Neurospora crassa OR74A: one gene and its partners. The protein of the gene in region 1 interacts with the protein of each later gene in a pairwise test. Links are inferred from orthologs where the notes say so. Each region holds a gene or a part of one and is shown in the gene's direction. Other genes may lie near its edges.

Region 1 (4,742 bases):
TTAATACCTACCACGGGTAGTTGTTAACCACAACAACTTTACTCAGTTCTATTGTTGTTTAATAATATCATCAGCTGGTCTGAACTTCAAGCTTGATAAGAACTTCAATCGTTCGAACGAAATACCTTACCAATCAGAACATCCACTATTACCTCATCTCAACAAGACAACGCAACTCGACTCGTCCCGAGAAACAAAACTACCCTCCTACGACACAAGCCAACATACAAGTCAACATGAAGCCCGTCACCCTCGCCGCCGCCCTTCTCTCGCTTTGCGCCTCCCTCGTCAGCGCCGGTGTAGTCATCACACCCATCAAGCCTGAGCAAGTTGTACCCAAGAATGCAGGTGACTGCTTCTTTGGCGTGACAACTCCTCTAGGTTGCGGGTATGTTCTATCTCTTATCTCACGCTTTGACACATGAGGCGGTCATTCCTCCCACATGCATGATCACTAACAGTAATCATATTTAGACCCCTTCGTAACACGAAGTAGGTGTAATGAAGGAGCTGCGACTACGAGTTTGAGTTTTCTTTCACGGATGGGGAGTTTGATGGCTGGCTGCCGGCCTACAGGCGGAAAATGGGCGATCCTCTCGGGGCGGATGTGGAGGACGTTGATCGGCGACAAGATAGATGGATGATGGGCCTTGTCTAGATGCAGTCATAGGATCTCTGGGGTTTCAAACACCGACTATGGGCATGAAGTCATGATCTATCAGGAGTCAATATTATCTCGACGGAGAACCTCGGCTTGGTCATGCCAATGGACAGAGAGACAGAGAGTACGAAGAAGATACCCATATGTTGGATGCACCCTGGTTGCGGCCGGAGGAGGATAAAACACCACCAATTCTACGGAGAGAGATGGGCGACTGTGCCATTCAAAACCATCTTGTCCTGTCTTGTCCTGTTTGTACTCGAGGAGCAATGCGATGTAAATGGATACCCACTTGGAACATCCTACAACAAAAGCGCTCTGTTCAGCTTCGAATTCAGCCGTTACGACTCTGTACAACATAGTGATCAATGATGATGATCGCACAAAGCCATCATGATATGATGCAAGATAACTTGACGGCTAACAACATCGCTGCGCATAAAAACCGCAAAGGTGTGAGCTTCTGAGTCGGAAAGTCATCTACAACTTCTGGGCATCGCGGAGTTGAGCTGGCAAAGCAGTCAAGACATTTGCAATTTTTATAGCATGGTTGCAAAAATGTGCCGATCGTTCGACCCGCCCTCACATGTGGTGATTCTAAGGCAGGAGATACAGAAGGGCTGTTTGTGGCATCAATCTGCCACTCAACTTCGGAGAAACCTAATGAAAGGCCCCCCAAGACTCCCGCGATACTGTTGGGCTGCAGAGCAGCAGCAGCAACCGCGTCTCTTCGTTGAGTGGTTGATGAGAGAAAAAGGAAAATTTGGGGTGGATGGACGTCGAGTTTTGACCACTTCGAAGCTTCGCCAGTGGCCCGTGCGTCTGCCCGTTTGTCAGGCGGGGGACGAACAACAGAAACCCACAAAAACGAAAGCTTGGGCGGGGCCGATTCAAAAAGCCACACCGGTCCGAGGAACTGCCGGCTCCGCAAGCACCAAACTTTAACTTCATTTCAAAATTGCCGCTGCAACCCTCGTTCTTTTTCCCAAGTTATTACTTCCCAACAGACTGGCAGTTCCGCGAACCACAGAGTCCCTAGTCATGGCGATGGGATCTATCGGCGATACCCTTTGGGATGTCGTCATCTGCGGCACCGGACTGCAGCAGTCTCTGCTTGCACTGTAAGCAAACTTTTCTTTCGCTCTTCTTCATCCGACTTTCATCGTTCTCCTGTCTAACTGACCGACTGACATAGCTGTTCTCCGCCTTGAAGATCCCTCTCGCGATCGGGCAAGAACATTTTGCACATAGACCCCAACGACTACTATGGCGGGGCGGAAGCGGCTTTCAGCCTGCAAGAAGCTGAGTCCTGGGTTGACCGTCTGGCCACCGAGGACAAAGGCCTCTTCAGGTCCGCGTCTATCACCAAGCCGGATGTCGTGGGTCTCTCCTTCCCCAGAGCGTACTCGCTGGCACTGGCACCGCAGTTGATCCACGCCCGCTCGGAGCTGCTATCTCAATTGGTTTCTTCCCGGGCGTACCGGCAGGTGGAATTCCTCGCCGTCGGATCGTTCTACATTTTCAAAGCACCTGTCGGCCCTGAACAGCAACCCAGCCTTGTCCGCATTCCTTCCACCCGCGAAGATGTCTTTTCAACTACTGCTATATCGGCCAAGGCGAAGCGCGGACTGATGAAGTTTCTACGGTTTGTGCTGGACTACGACAGTCCGGAGCAGAGAGATGCCTGGAAGCCTTTTGCCGATAAACCCTTGGTGGACTTCTTACAGGAGCACTTCAAGATGGATACCGAGCTCAAGACCTACATCATCACCCTCACGCTTTCGCTGGATGGCCGCATCACTACCGAGGATGGATTGTTCATCGTCCATCGCCATCTTACCTCTATGGGTCACTTTGGCCCCGGCTTTGCTGCTCTCTATCCCAAATGGGGCGGTATCTCCGAGATTGCCCAGGTCGCCTGTAGAGCCGGTGCGGTCGGTGGTGCTGTCTACATGCTTGGCGCTGGTATCAAGTCAATGGAGACTGCTACTGACGAGATCGAGCTCGAGTTGACCAGCGGCGACAAGGTGAAAACCAAGTTGCTCGTGCGTGGAGACGAAAGCGTTGGTGACGAGCCGAGCATCAGCAGGCTAGTGGCCGTTGTTGATTCTCCGCTCAAGACCTTGTTTGAGTCTACCGTCGACGGGGCGCCGACTCCCTGCGTTGCGGTCGTCGCTCTGCCTCCGGGTTCACTAACAACACCTGGCGAAGCAAACACTGACCCAGTCTATGTTTTCGCTCACTCGAGCGGCACTGGCGAATGTCCCAATGGTCAGAGTAAGTTTTATCTATTTCCTTGCTCCCTTCAATTTACCCATTTCGAGTACTATGATGATCCACATCTTGAATACTTATCTACATTGTCCAAGCTTCGGCGTTGACGATAAATACCTCTGACATTCTGATCGTACTCTCATCCGTTCAACCCTTCCGCATCATTCATAACTTGTTACGCGCAAATGGCTGACTGGAAACCAACAGGTGTCTTATACTTGTCCACAATGGTGACTCCTAACTCCAAGGAGATCTTGAGTCGCTCTCTTGAATCCTTGCTTTCCGCTGTGGACCCTGATCGAGTCCCCCAGTGCTTGTATCAGTTATACTATGAACAGGCTGCTGGTGTCAAGCAAAGTCGACTTGATGGGTTGATTCTTGATCTGCCAGGCCCATCTCTTTCCCTCTTGATGGACGATGCATCGCTGAATCATGTCCGTGAGGCGTGGAAGAAGGTCGTTGGCGGCGCAGTTGATGATGCAGAGTACATGGTCTTCACTGATCGTGAACCCGTGGATGATGATGATTATGAATGATTCTTGGTGACGACCATGGTAAGGGCTGGTCTCTTTACTGTCTTATGCACCGCCCTCCGCACACTCCGTAACATACTTGAAAAAGATTAATCTCAATTTACTTCTATTATTCGATTGCCAATCCATCTCACTGCTATCTGGTAGCTGATTTGTTGTGAATTCCTCAGTCGCCAAATCTTCTGTCAAAGTGAGCCCCAGCGTGTTGCAAAGTTGCCGTTTGCCTGAAGTCCGTTGTCCCCTTCCTATACTTCTCCGAAGATCAGCTCCCTATGTCCTCCGCAGAAACTGTGATCCTATCTTCCGCATGCGCCAGATGGCTTTTGTCAGAGGCATGATTGCTTAGCAAACCAATCAAAATGGTATCTCATCTGGCCCTTTACTCAATCATGATCCCACAGTGTAGGGGAGCACAGCATCCCGTTTCCCATTTACCCACCCGACAACCCGAACCGAGAAATAATAATAAAGAAAAGAACCGCAAGACTCGCACCGATTGCACCGATAAGTGTGCATTCTTTGCAAAACTCTCCGCATCAGCCACTTCACTCGTCACCATCCTCCTCCATCAGAGCCAGCATCTCAGCCTCCGACACCTCAACGCCCACGCGAATTTCGCCAAACGGCTGGAAGCCCTCCATGTCCTGCTCCACCTTGATTGCGTCTTTGGTCGCGAGGACCAAGACGTTGTAGAAAGCCTGAGTCGCCACCTGTCGGGTTCTGTCTCTAGGTTCATCCAACAGCTCGTCAAAGGCAACCCACTGTCTGAGAAGTCTGTCGTTTCCGTCTCCGTGGGCATGGGAAGAAGAGGGTGGAGCACCGCCGCCGCCGAGGGACCGCGTCTCCCCTCTGGCTTTGGCTACCATATTGACGTAAGCCAGGAAGTTGTGGCCGTCGCGATCTAGAGCGTCGCGCATTACTTGGGAGGTTTCGGCCGCAGCCTGGGTAGCAGTCATTTCAGCTTCGCCGGAAGGAGTACAGCGCAAGAGGTCACGGCCACCCTGAGGACCGCCAGGCAAATGCGGAAGCTGCGGTTCATCCTCTCCAGGTGGCATTATGGGGTCGGATGAGAAACCAGGGGCGCCGCCAGAGTGCAAGAAGGGCGCGTAGGATCCTGCGTCGCTGAAGCGATCAATGGGGGGAAGGTGGGCCAAGCGGCTGCCGCGGCTGTGGAGGGGACTGGCGCTCACTTGGCGGCTGGATCCGGGGTGGTGATTGTCGCCTTTCACCGATGAGCCTGGGACCAGGGAAGAGGGTCGGTTCCAGGGAGCGTC
Region 2 (4,933 bases), about 1.9 Mb from region 1:
GTTCGGGGAGAAGGAGAGGTGGTTTCGGGGCAGGAGCGATCAGATACCTTCCCCTTCCTGCTACCCGCTTGTTGTTTGTGGTTGGAAGGTGTCGTGAAGGACTCAGGTTATCGGACTGGAACGCACTTATTTGATGGCTGCTTCTTCCCCATACCTTGCAGGATATCTGTGCGTATCTTAACCTCGATATACGACGACCTTTACAACCGGTTACTGGAAACCAATTGACTTTATATCAAAAACACCAGCACGGCATCTGCTACATGGGGCTTACATGAAAGCGACGGTACGTGCTCTTATAACAACAAGCTGTTTAGCTGTGCGACCCCTCTCCCCTCCTCGCTGCCTGCTTTCGACCACATCTACTACTACGGCACTCGTCAGACGAAAACCACTACGGTACTTACCGATGTACAACTATTCTTGTCGACTATAGTTTTATTCTTTTTCTTTCTTTTTTGTGTCGGGAGTTGGGCTCTTGGATAATACGTTGTAGCAAAGATTTCTGTGTCGTGCTACTTCTGTAGGTTGTCCTATCGTGTTAAACCGAGGGGAAGCTGCCCGAGGTGAAGAGTGCGGCGGCCGACTTGTGATGCGCATCAGAGTCATTGTTCCGTCGCCCCAGTACCTCCCATTTCTTGAAATCGATACCCAATACGGACTCAACGATATACGCTCTACTCTCACGCGAAACCCAATCGTCCTCTGCCTACCGGTATACTAACTATTCAACTAAATAGTAAGAAGAAAAACAAGAAAAAAACTGGGGGCTTTGTTTCCATCCCTGAGAGCGACGGTCATATCATTCGAACTATTTCGGACCGCGAATCCACCACCACATTCCGCTCAGCGTCGATTCCCCAACTCGGTGGTGTAGGAGTGCAGGAACGCCGCGACGCAAGTCGGCCTGATTTGTTCGCAAGTGGTCAACGCCATTGACCGAGACGTACGACACGGTCACAACGAACCAGCAACGAGGGAGTTGGAAACTTTGGCGCATCCTCGACGAGCCACTTAGTAGCCCGAGGTTGTGTAGTGTAGCATCACGCACATCCTCCGCCCCCCAGGCTACCTACCCACAGGGCACCGCACCCCTGGAACGTCAGTTGTGTTACCGTGTTGGCCTTCCAAGCGGAACGGCGACCGCTGCAACGGGCGGGGCAACCTCGCTTGTCAGATCCCACCACACCACTGCACCTTCGAGGTCCGTCCTGGTCAAGGGTCAGGTTCAACGTTGGAAAAAGAGCCCCAAGATCCCTTCACCGTCCATGGGTGAAGAATCACCATTCGCTCGACCACCTTCCGGCTTCTCTAATACCTTTTCCCACCACCACTTCAACCCGGTTCTCTCTTCTGGTTTTCGCTTGTTTCTCGGGACAACTCGCATGCGAGTGTCGACTTTTCCTTCATTGATTGGCAGCATCACTTTGCCATCCTTCTTTCACTAATAATCATCACACGGTACAAGGCACGGCTTCACGCACCCCTGCTATTACGCCGTAACCAGGTTGCGGCCTAGTCTAGCGCACCCAGTACTCTCACTGTACGACGCCATCCCTACCGCCCACTCACCCCCCTCGACATCCGAGGCCCAGCACTGTTATCCACATTCGGTCGCTGCTAGTGCCTCCAGCCATGAAGCGCTCCCTGAAGTGGTTTAGTTCCAAAACCACCTCCAGCCCCAGTAACAGTCCCGAGCCTGCGGGGCCCTCCGTTGGGGCCGGTGGAAATAATAGTTATCGCGCATCGCCTTCCTCTGTTTCCGCAGCGTTCAGGAACCCATCGCCTTCCGACTCAACAACCGATTCACCCTCTTCCCTTCTTCACCCATCCTCGCCGTCGCCGTCCCCGACACCCCAACCGCTGACCCCCCGTGACTCCGTCTTTCCTCGATCCGATCTTTCGCCACTCACTGCCTCGAAACCCATTGACATTGCGGTCTCCCATCATCGGTCCACTGCATCCATCTCACCGGCTGACCGCAATCCCATCACTTTCCCAACCCACGATCTCGACGATCTCGATATCAACTGGGACCAAGGCCCTTGCCTCGCCGACCTTGGTTTCGACCCTGACGTCGACATGACTGCCGGTCAACATTTCGACTCGGCCTTGAGCCGCAGTCGACAGGAATCCTTCCTAGGCACTGGCGCAAAACCCATCTCCATGGCAAACCCTAATCGCGACCACGTCAACCGCATCCGTCGCGAAAGTATGGCTGGCAGTCTCAGAGCAGGCAGCCTTATGGCGGGGAGTCTTATGGGTAACGGTATGAGCTGGGGCGGCATTTCTGTTGGAAGCTTTATTCGCGAAGAGTAAGTTGTTGCCGCTGTTCCCTGCACTTGGGGGTGCTTGTTTGTGTCCTTGGCGTTAGTCGGGAGCAGAGTTCTTGGGTATCCTGGAGCTGGATCGCCGCCGAGGACTGTCCGTCGGTTGTTAACACCGAAGCTGACCTGTTGATGTTGTTAGTATGATGATGACAGGCACTTCACCCTATTTAACGCACCAGTCTCCCTCGTTCCATTCTTCGTCGTATATTCCCAAACTCGAGGCCAACTTCATGCGCGATTTCACCTGCTGCGACAGGACGTGGCCGACTCTCCATGATCTCCTTCAACATTACGAGGAGAACCACCACGCCACCGCAGCACCCAACACCTCCAACCAGAATCTCAATACCTTTGGCACCAATCAAGGGAACGCACGCGGGACCGCCAGTCGTGCCACTCCAACTCCTGCAGCGAGTAGAGCTCAGCCAGGAGCCCAGGCGATGAATGGATATCAAGGTCAGCGTCATTTGAGTGTTGCTGGCGCAGGAATGGGCCTTGGCGGTATCGGACAGATGATGCGACAGCAACAAGTAGCTCCAGCTGTGTCAAAAATGTCCTCCATGTCACACATGAACGATGATATGGATACTGTCGGAGAGATGGAGCTTGACGAGACCGTGGGACCTATGGAGATGGACGATAATCAGCGGACAATCCAGCAGACTCGGCAATTGTTTGGGCAGCAGCAGCGTTCTCAACTACACCTGAACAGCTCTGGGCTTCCGCACCAGGCTTTGCGCACTTCTCAACCCCCAACTCCTGCTGCTGTCAGCTTTGGTTTCCAGAACAACCCGACCGTTTCGTCAGTCAACACGCCAACCCTGACAACACAAGGAGGCCTACCTCAGCGGGGACAGTTTGGTCAGGAAGATGACAATGGTGATGACATGTCCGGAATGCCTATGAAGATGAACATCGGCGGTGTGAATCTGAACGGCGGCCAGCTCGGAGGACTGGCGGGAAACTTGGCTTTCGGGGCTTTGGGAACGATTGATGATCCTGCAAAGAGGCTGTATAGCCCTGGTGGTACGACCCAGATGACGAGCCAGCAACGAGCGTTCGATGCCCAAATGCAGATGCAGCAGCAGTTGCAGCAGCACCTGGCGTCGATGAATCTCGATTTGAATCAGCTTGCTCCTGGTACAGACCCTGCTCTGCTTCTGCAGCAGATGACTGCGCTCATGATGCCGCCGACAGAAGAACACAAGCCTTTCCGCTGTCCCGTCATTGGATGCGAGAAGGCATACAAGAACCAGAATGGTCTGAAGTAAGTTTTTACCCCGACGTGTTTCTCCTTTGAAGTGCGATTTGTTTGCCCTTTGCAGAAATTTTCTTTGGTCGGCCACCAACGCCAATTAACCCCATACTTTTCCCAACTGCATTCCTTCCCCAAGTCCCACTAACAATCGAACCAGGTACCACAAGACCCATGGACATTCGACCCAGCAATTGCATGAGAACGGCGACGGCACCTTCTCGATCGTCAATCCAGAAACGAGCACGCCTTACCCTGGTACCCTGGGTATGGAGAAGGAGAAGCCCTTCAAATGCGACGTTTGCGGAAAGCGCTACAAGAACTTGAATGGTCTCAAATACGTAAGTCGATATTTACCTTCAGGTCATTGTCACATACACAGTGATGCTTACACAGTTTCAATGATAGCACAAGCAACATTCCCCCATGTGCGACCCTGAAATGAGAGCCCAGCACCAGAATTTGATCTCGACCATGATGTCCAACCCAGCTGCGCTCATCGCTTTCCAGCAAAACCTGCCCAACATCAACGAAGACGTCATGTTGTAGGACGAAGGCGCATTTGATAAGCAGTTGGACATGGCCAAGATCGACAAACGACCTTGCGTTGTCCCGGGTCGCAGTCCACGTGAAGCTTAATATACCCAGCGTCCTCGGCTTGACGTTGTGGGGACACACGGCATCCGATCCAAGCCTTGGAAAGGTCTGATGGCGGAGCCCTGTGTCCGATTCCCGATAAACTGCCGTTTACTGTTGCGGCCGCCATACAAGTCACGCATCGGTTAGCAAAAAACGCCTCTCATCTCCGGTTTTCATGTTTGACTTCACTGTTATGTTTTGGAGGGTCAGAAAAGTTCCATCTTGGGTTTACACTACACCTTTCAGTAGCAGCATTTTGCGTGGCGTTTTTCTTGTTCTTTTTCCTTTTCGTTTCTTGTTTGTTTCCAATATTTGTCACGGTACACGAGAGGAGAGGAGTGTACAGAAAAAAAGAGTCAAGTGGTTTTCTATAGGCTTTGTATGGCTTTAGTGCAGGGTAGTACGTATGGGGAAAAAAGGGATGTCTGGGAAAATGAGAAAAGTCTTAAAAGCTAGAGGGGAATGGCAGCGAATGTCTGTATTCTTGGTCTCGGATCTGGAGGGAAAATGTATCAAGTTGAAGAAGGCGAAGAATCTCTCAAAGAAGGGGGGGTTTTGCCGGCATATCCCCCTTATACCCAGGAGAGACGAAACGAAGACGGGCGAAGGAACGAGAGAAAGACCATTATAGAGGTAGGATTTCACACACTGGTTCTCAGGTAGCGTTAGCATCTTACCCGTTAGCCGCTTTGATTTATTCATTAGAGAT
Region 3 (4,477 bases), on another chromosome or scaffold:
CAAGCGACCTGGACCGAGACCAGGTCCGCTAAGGGCAGAGTGATAGGATTCGTTGATTAAACCACTGTTTGCCATGCTTCCCACGCCCCTCTTGACAACGCTGCTTCCCGAGTCGGTCGAAACTTGGTCATCATCGGTCTTGGCGTAAGGGCTGTCGTCACCAGCTTCGTCGTCGTTGTCATTGTTGTTGTTCGCAACACCCAACTTTCCCAGATGCCCGCCGAAGCCACCTGCACCGGCCCATCCTTCTTCCGCTTGTTCCTCGAGGTAGGCGAAACCATCTTCCGGGTCGTGCCAGTGCGCAAGGTAGAGGAAGTCGTTCAGGTGGTGAGTGACTCGCGCCTGTCCGCCGCTTTCTGCGCCGACTACGGCCACGAAGAGGAACTGCTTCGGAGCAGTCTGGACGCTCGTTCGAGTGAAGAGGCGGCGCGCGCGCAGGAGTTCGAGGGCTTGGATTTGCACGGCGCGCGGGGCATGGTCGAGGTTTTGGGCGAGGACGACGTTGGCTATTTGCGTTGCCGGTGGTTGTTGTTGTTGTTGCTGCTGTGATGGTGGTGGCGGGTGGGCGGAAGAAGATGAGCCGGGAACATTTTGTTTCGAGGAAAAGTATGAACCCGAGCCGGAAGGTACAGAGCGGTGGGAGTGGTGGTGTTGGGGGTTGTTGCTGTTGTTGGGCAGTGGTGAGCTTGGTGGAGTGACGGGGACTAAGAGTGCTGCTGCGAAATCATCGAGTGTCATCTGCGAGTGACATGGGACGATGACGGGCGTGAGGCCAAAGGTTTTGACGGCGGTCAGACATAGCTCTTTCGATAGGTCCTCGACAAAGTCGGGTTCGGTGCTGATCAGGCAGTGTTCCCGTGCGATGAGGGAGAGAAGGACGGCGAGCTCGAGATCGCTCAGGCTGTGTATTTTGTCCTGGAGTTCGGCTTGTTGTCGTTCCTTGATATCATCCTCCATTTCCAGTGCCGTTATTATGCCGAAGCATGAGGATCATATCCATGGACAGGAGTAGACGAGTCTCTTAGGTAGTGTAAGAGCAAGAAGAACTGGATGCCGATATTGCGGTCCTTCACGCCGGCGCTTTTTTCTTGTCACCGGGATTGGGCCATGCTTGGTGGATGGAAATCTCGAGATGGTCCGTCACTTTCCACAGTCGCCCGATCGGCAGGATGTTGTTAGGTTTTTATGTCTGTAAATTGTAGAGATAGTTATTCCTGTGAAGCGTACGAGTACATCAAGGGTGTGACAAAACTGAATTGAATGGAAGAAATGTGAGTCGGTCGCAATCTGTCGATCCTTTCTGCCCCTGGGACTGTTCCGCTGAGGAATGGGAGGATGACATGGCTGATGAAGAATGAATGAATGATCAATCGACACTTAATCCTTGGCGTTGGGCATGGTGCAGTGGGCCACAGGTTCCTCTTTGCGGGCCACCTGTCGTACATGTCGGGTGTTTCAGCTCGGACCAGGCCGACTTTGGGCGCTGGCGGGTGACTTCATTGGCTCCAGGGATGCACTGGCGAGACTGGACCAGTGGTGCGTGCCTGCCTGACGGCGCGCCAAAGGCGTCGAGGGCGTGTTAGCGCTGCGACCACCTCCGTCACTAGGTGGTTGTGTCGCAGAGCCGTCGCTCCTCCAACAGCGCAGCATTCAGTGACCAGCCCCAGTTCAACAAGTTCCCGCCGCCCCAACGTCCAGGTCGGTCACGTCGGTCGGTTAGGTCACCACTTATCGAAAACCAACCTACCTTACCTACCGCTTGGCCTTGTTTAGACTGAGTGCCGAATCTAGCAGCCTGCTACGACCTACACTAAACCCAACATTTGTTGCGCCCGCCGTCCTCCTCACACTCTTACGACTCCCATCTTTCTCGACTACCATCACTGGTGGACTGTTGTTCTTGACGATTGCCCGGAAGCACGCCAGCACGAGCAACTCCACCTCGTCCCGTTTCTACGTCTTATCAAACAACTTATCTAATTCCATACCGCCCGCCATGTCTTCGAGGAAGAAGGTTCTTCTCAAGGTGCGAGTCGGCCGCCAAATCGGACCATCTAGACAGCAACAGCTAACAATGACTCCCAATGGCAGGTTATCATCTTGGGCGACAGCGGTGTCGGAAAGACCAGTTTGATGAACCAATATGTATGCCAGCGTCGAGCCCGTTGTCACCATGCATTATGATACAAAGAGGACGTCATCTGACCCCCGCTCTTTTGGCGCAAAACAGGTCAACAAGAAGTTCAGTGCTAGCTACAAGGCCACTATCGGAGCCGATTTCTTGACCCGGGAGGTTCTGGTGGACGACCGCCAAGTAACCATGCAGGTGCGTGCGCCAAATACCCTACTTTGAGCTGGTTGGACGACGTGCTAATACGTAAGGTTCTCGACGGGCAGCTGTGGGACACAGCCGGACAAGAGAGGTTCCAGTCGCTGGGCGTTGCCTTCTACCGCGGTGCCGACTGCTGTGTTCTAGTATACGATGTCAACAACTCCAAGAGCTTCGATGCGCTCGACAGCTGGAGAGACGAGTTCCTTATCCAAGCATCTCCGCGAGACCCGGATAACTTCCCGTTCGTCGTGCTGGGTAACAAGATCGATATGGAAGAGAGCAAGAGGGTGGTATGTTTTCTGTTCGATGGGCCTTGTCGTATGTTGGAGATCATCATTTACTGACCTTGTGGCGCAGATTTCGACCAAGAGGGCCATGACCTTTTGTCAATCCAAGGGCAACATTCCGTATTTCGAGACCAGTGCAAAGGAGGCTATCAACGTCGAGCAGGCCTTTGAGGTTATCGCCAGAAACGCGCTCATGCAGGAAGAGTCGGAGGAGTTCAGCGGAGATTTCCAGGATCCCATCAACATTCACATCGAGAACGACCGGGATGGATGCGCGTGCTAAGGGCGAAGGAGCTCCATCAAGCTTCTAGTCCTCCTTTTGGGTTTATGAGGGAGTTTGGTTTTTCATGTCTTCATTTGTATGATATCACGCTGGGTATGACAGGAATGCGGTTTTGATCTTGGCTTGCAGAGACGGTGCTTAATGACCAGTGAGTTTGGAACGGGGGGAGTCAATGGGGTGCGCAAGAGTGAACGTGAACGGTGACGAGCAATGATAGATATGCACTGGTGTAGATGGGAGTATGGAATAATCATGGTCTTGGTGCCAGAGGTTTTCATCTCGACTGTCTTTCCTCTCCGAGTTTCCATAGCTGAGCATCTGGTAATTAGTCTAGGACCTGTGCAGCGGTCTTTCTGACTGTATCCAATGTGCTCTTCACCATGTCATCACATTTTGTAACAAGTGGTCGCAAGTCAACGACAACCCAGAGCTGTTGTATTATGGCACGACAATCTGGAACAACACCGAAAAGATTACTGCCTGCCTACTACCAGCGATAGCAGGTACCCGCCAGCTCCTTTCAGATAAGCGACCTATGTGGGAAATGCGTCTCCGCAGCTAATGTTTGGATGAGAGGTACCTACGTACATGCCTACATAATCACCTGCAGATGCATAACCTTTTCTTCACATTTTCAACTGCAACTAACGTTTGCCTTTTCAGCTCCTTCACCTCTTCACATCTCCAGGATGGAGAGTTTCATCATTGAGCCGATGACAAAACCACCGGCGACAGTAGCGCATTGGCGTGATGTCTCAGTGGTTGAAGATGAGTGGTAAAACAAAGCAACGGACACCGTACCTACTTCAACGGCCTATGGACTTTTTTTGTTGACTGAGAATAGCAAACAGATTGGACCCATCAAGTATTCGCGTCAGGGGCTGGATGGTATCACAGGGACTCCCATGGCGCCTCCGCAACTCTACTCGACTTTGAGATTTTGCGATTCCACTTCCCCGGAGTGGCAAACAACGACAAACCCACCTCCCGGGCCCCCTACCGCTCGTGGATCAGCATTTTCATAAGCGGTGTCGGGTTGGAGCGTCGTGGCCACCAGGGGGAGAAGGGCTCCAAAGGGGAACGAAATGTAAACATGCCCCTCTTGCTCCTTTTCATCCTGTTTCTCAGTATCTCGGGATGACGCGCGTCTCGTCGTTTCTGGCGCTCTGATCTCTGAAGCAGCTGATCTAGCCTCTCTGTTAGCGATTCTCAATAAGACTGGTAGGCTGTCTTTAACAGCCCCAGTAACATTTGGTCTTGGCTGTAATTCCTCAGCTCCCTATTTCCCACTGACGGCAGTAGCCAGCCAACCTTGGCTCAATGATACCGATAAGGTCCCCTGCGTCCGCTTCGCAACTCCCGACTCTTCTCACTCTTTGCTTTGGGACCCTGTCAATCCTCTTTTAGCCTCTCGCGCAGCGTTCTGTTTTTCTTGGTTTGAGCTTGTTTCAACTCTCGAGGGCTGTCCAGGAGCCTCCTGCTGTGTTTCCAGCGTCTTTCGGCCGTTTCGCGACTCTCAGAAAATGGTCTCTGCTGCCCGGTCAGTGTCGCCGGCGGCTGCCGAATTAGTGCCGC

Evidence for each region. The genes of interacting proteins can lie anywhere in the genome.
Region 2: the proteins of NCU03191 (region 1) and NCU02621 interact in binary tests that used the Saccharomyces cerevisiae proteins (3 or more experiments, as listed by UniProt). The link is inferred for Neurospora crassa OR74A from reciprocal best matches to the Saccharomyces cerevisiae genes MRS6 and SFP1.
Region 3: the proteins of NCU03191 (region 1) and NCU03711 interact in a protein complementation assay, tested with the Saccharomyces cerevisiae proteins (3 studies listed by BioGRID, with this or other methods). The link is inferred for Neurospora crassa OR74A from reciprocal best matches to the Saccharomyces cerevisiae genes MRS6 and YPT7.

What each region holds. Positions count from the first base shown.
Region 1 is NC_026501.1:4,857,753-4,862,494, reverse strand, and holds NCU03191 (rab protein geranylgeranyltransferase component A), read left to right. Parts: upstream 1-1,702; coding exon 1,703-1,782; intron 1,783-1,874; coding exon 1,875-2,938; intron 2,939-3,142; coding exon 3,143-3,471; 3' UTR 3,472-3,489; intron 3,490-3,638; 3' UTR 3,639-3,908; downstream 3,909-4,742. Other genes in the region: NCU03192 (hypothetical protein), read left to right, coding at 237-388, 475-496; NCU03190 (Rec8), read right to left, coding at 4,014-4,742. UniProt on the Saccharomyces cerevisiae protein: Substrate-binding subunit (component A) of the Rab geranylgeranyltransferase (GGTase) complex. Binds unprenylated Rab proteins and presents the substrate peptide to the catalytic component B.
Region 2 is NC_026501.1:2,943,280-2,948,212, reverse strand, and holds the start of NCU02621 (C2H2 transcription factor), read left to right. Parts: upstream 1-1,479; 5' UTR 1,480-1,635; coding exon 1,636-2,315; intron 2,316-2,469; coding exon 2,470-3,597; intron 3,598-3,745; coding exon 3,746-3,926; intron 3,927-3,993; coding exon 3,994-4,134; 3' UTR 4,135-4,933. UniProt on the Saccharomyces cerevisiae protein: Transcription factor that regulates ribosomal protein (RP) and ribosome biogenesis (Ribi) gene expression in response to nutrients and stress. Promotes RP gene expression under optimal growth conditions.
Region 3 is NC_026505.1:2,171,831-2,176,307, reverse strand, and holds NCU03711 (GTP-binding protein ypt7), read left to right. Parts: upstream 1-1,555; 5' UTR 1,556-1,996; coding exon 1,997-2,026; intron 2,027-2,091; coding exon 2,092-2,145; intron 2,146-2,230; coding exon 2,231-2,326; intron 2,327-2,397; coding exon 2,398-2,622; intron 2,623-2,689; coding exon 2,690-2,902; 3' UTR 2,903-3,323; downstream 3,324-4,477. Other genes in the region: NCU03712 (hypothetical protein), read right to left, coding at 1-957; NCU03710 (integral membrane protein), read left to right, coding at 4,426-4,477. UniProt on the Saccharomyces cerevisiae protein: Ypt/Rab-type GTPases are key regulators of membrane trafficking and intracellular vesicular transport.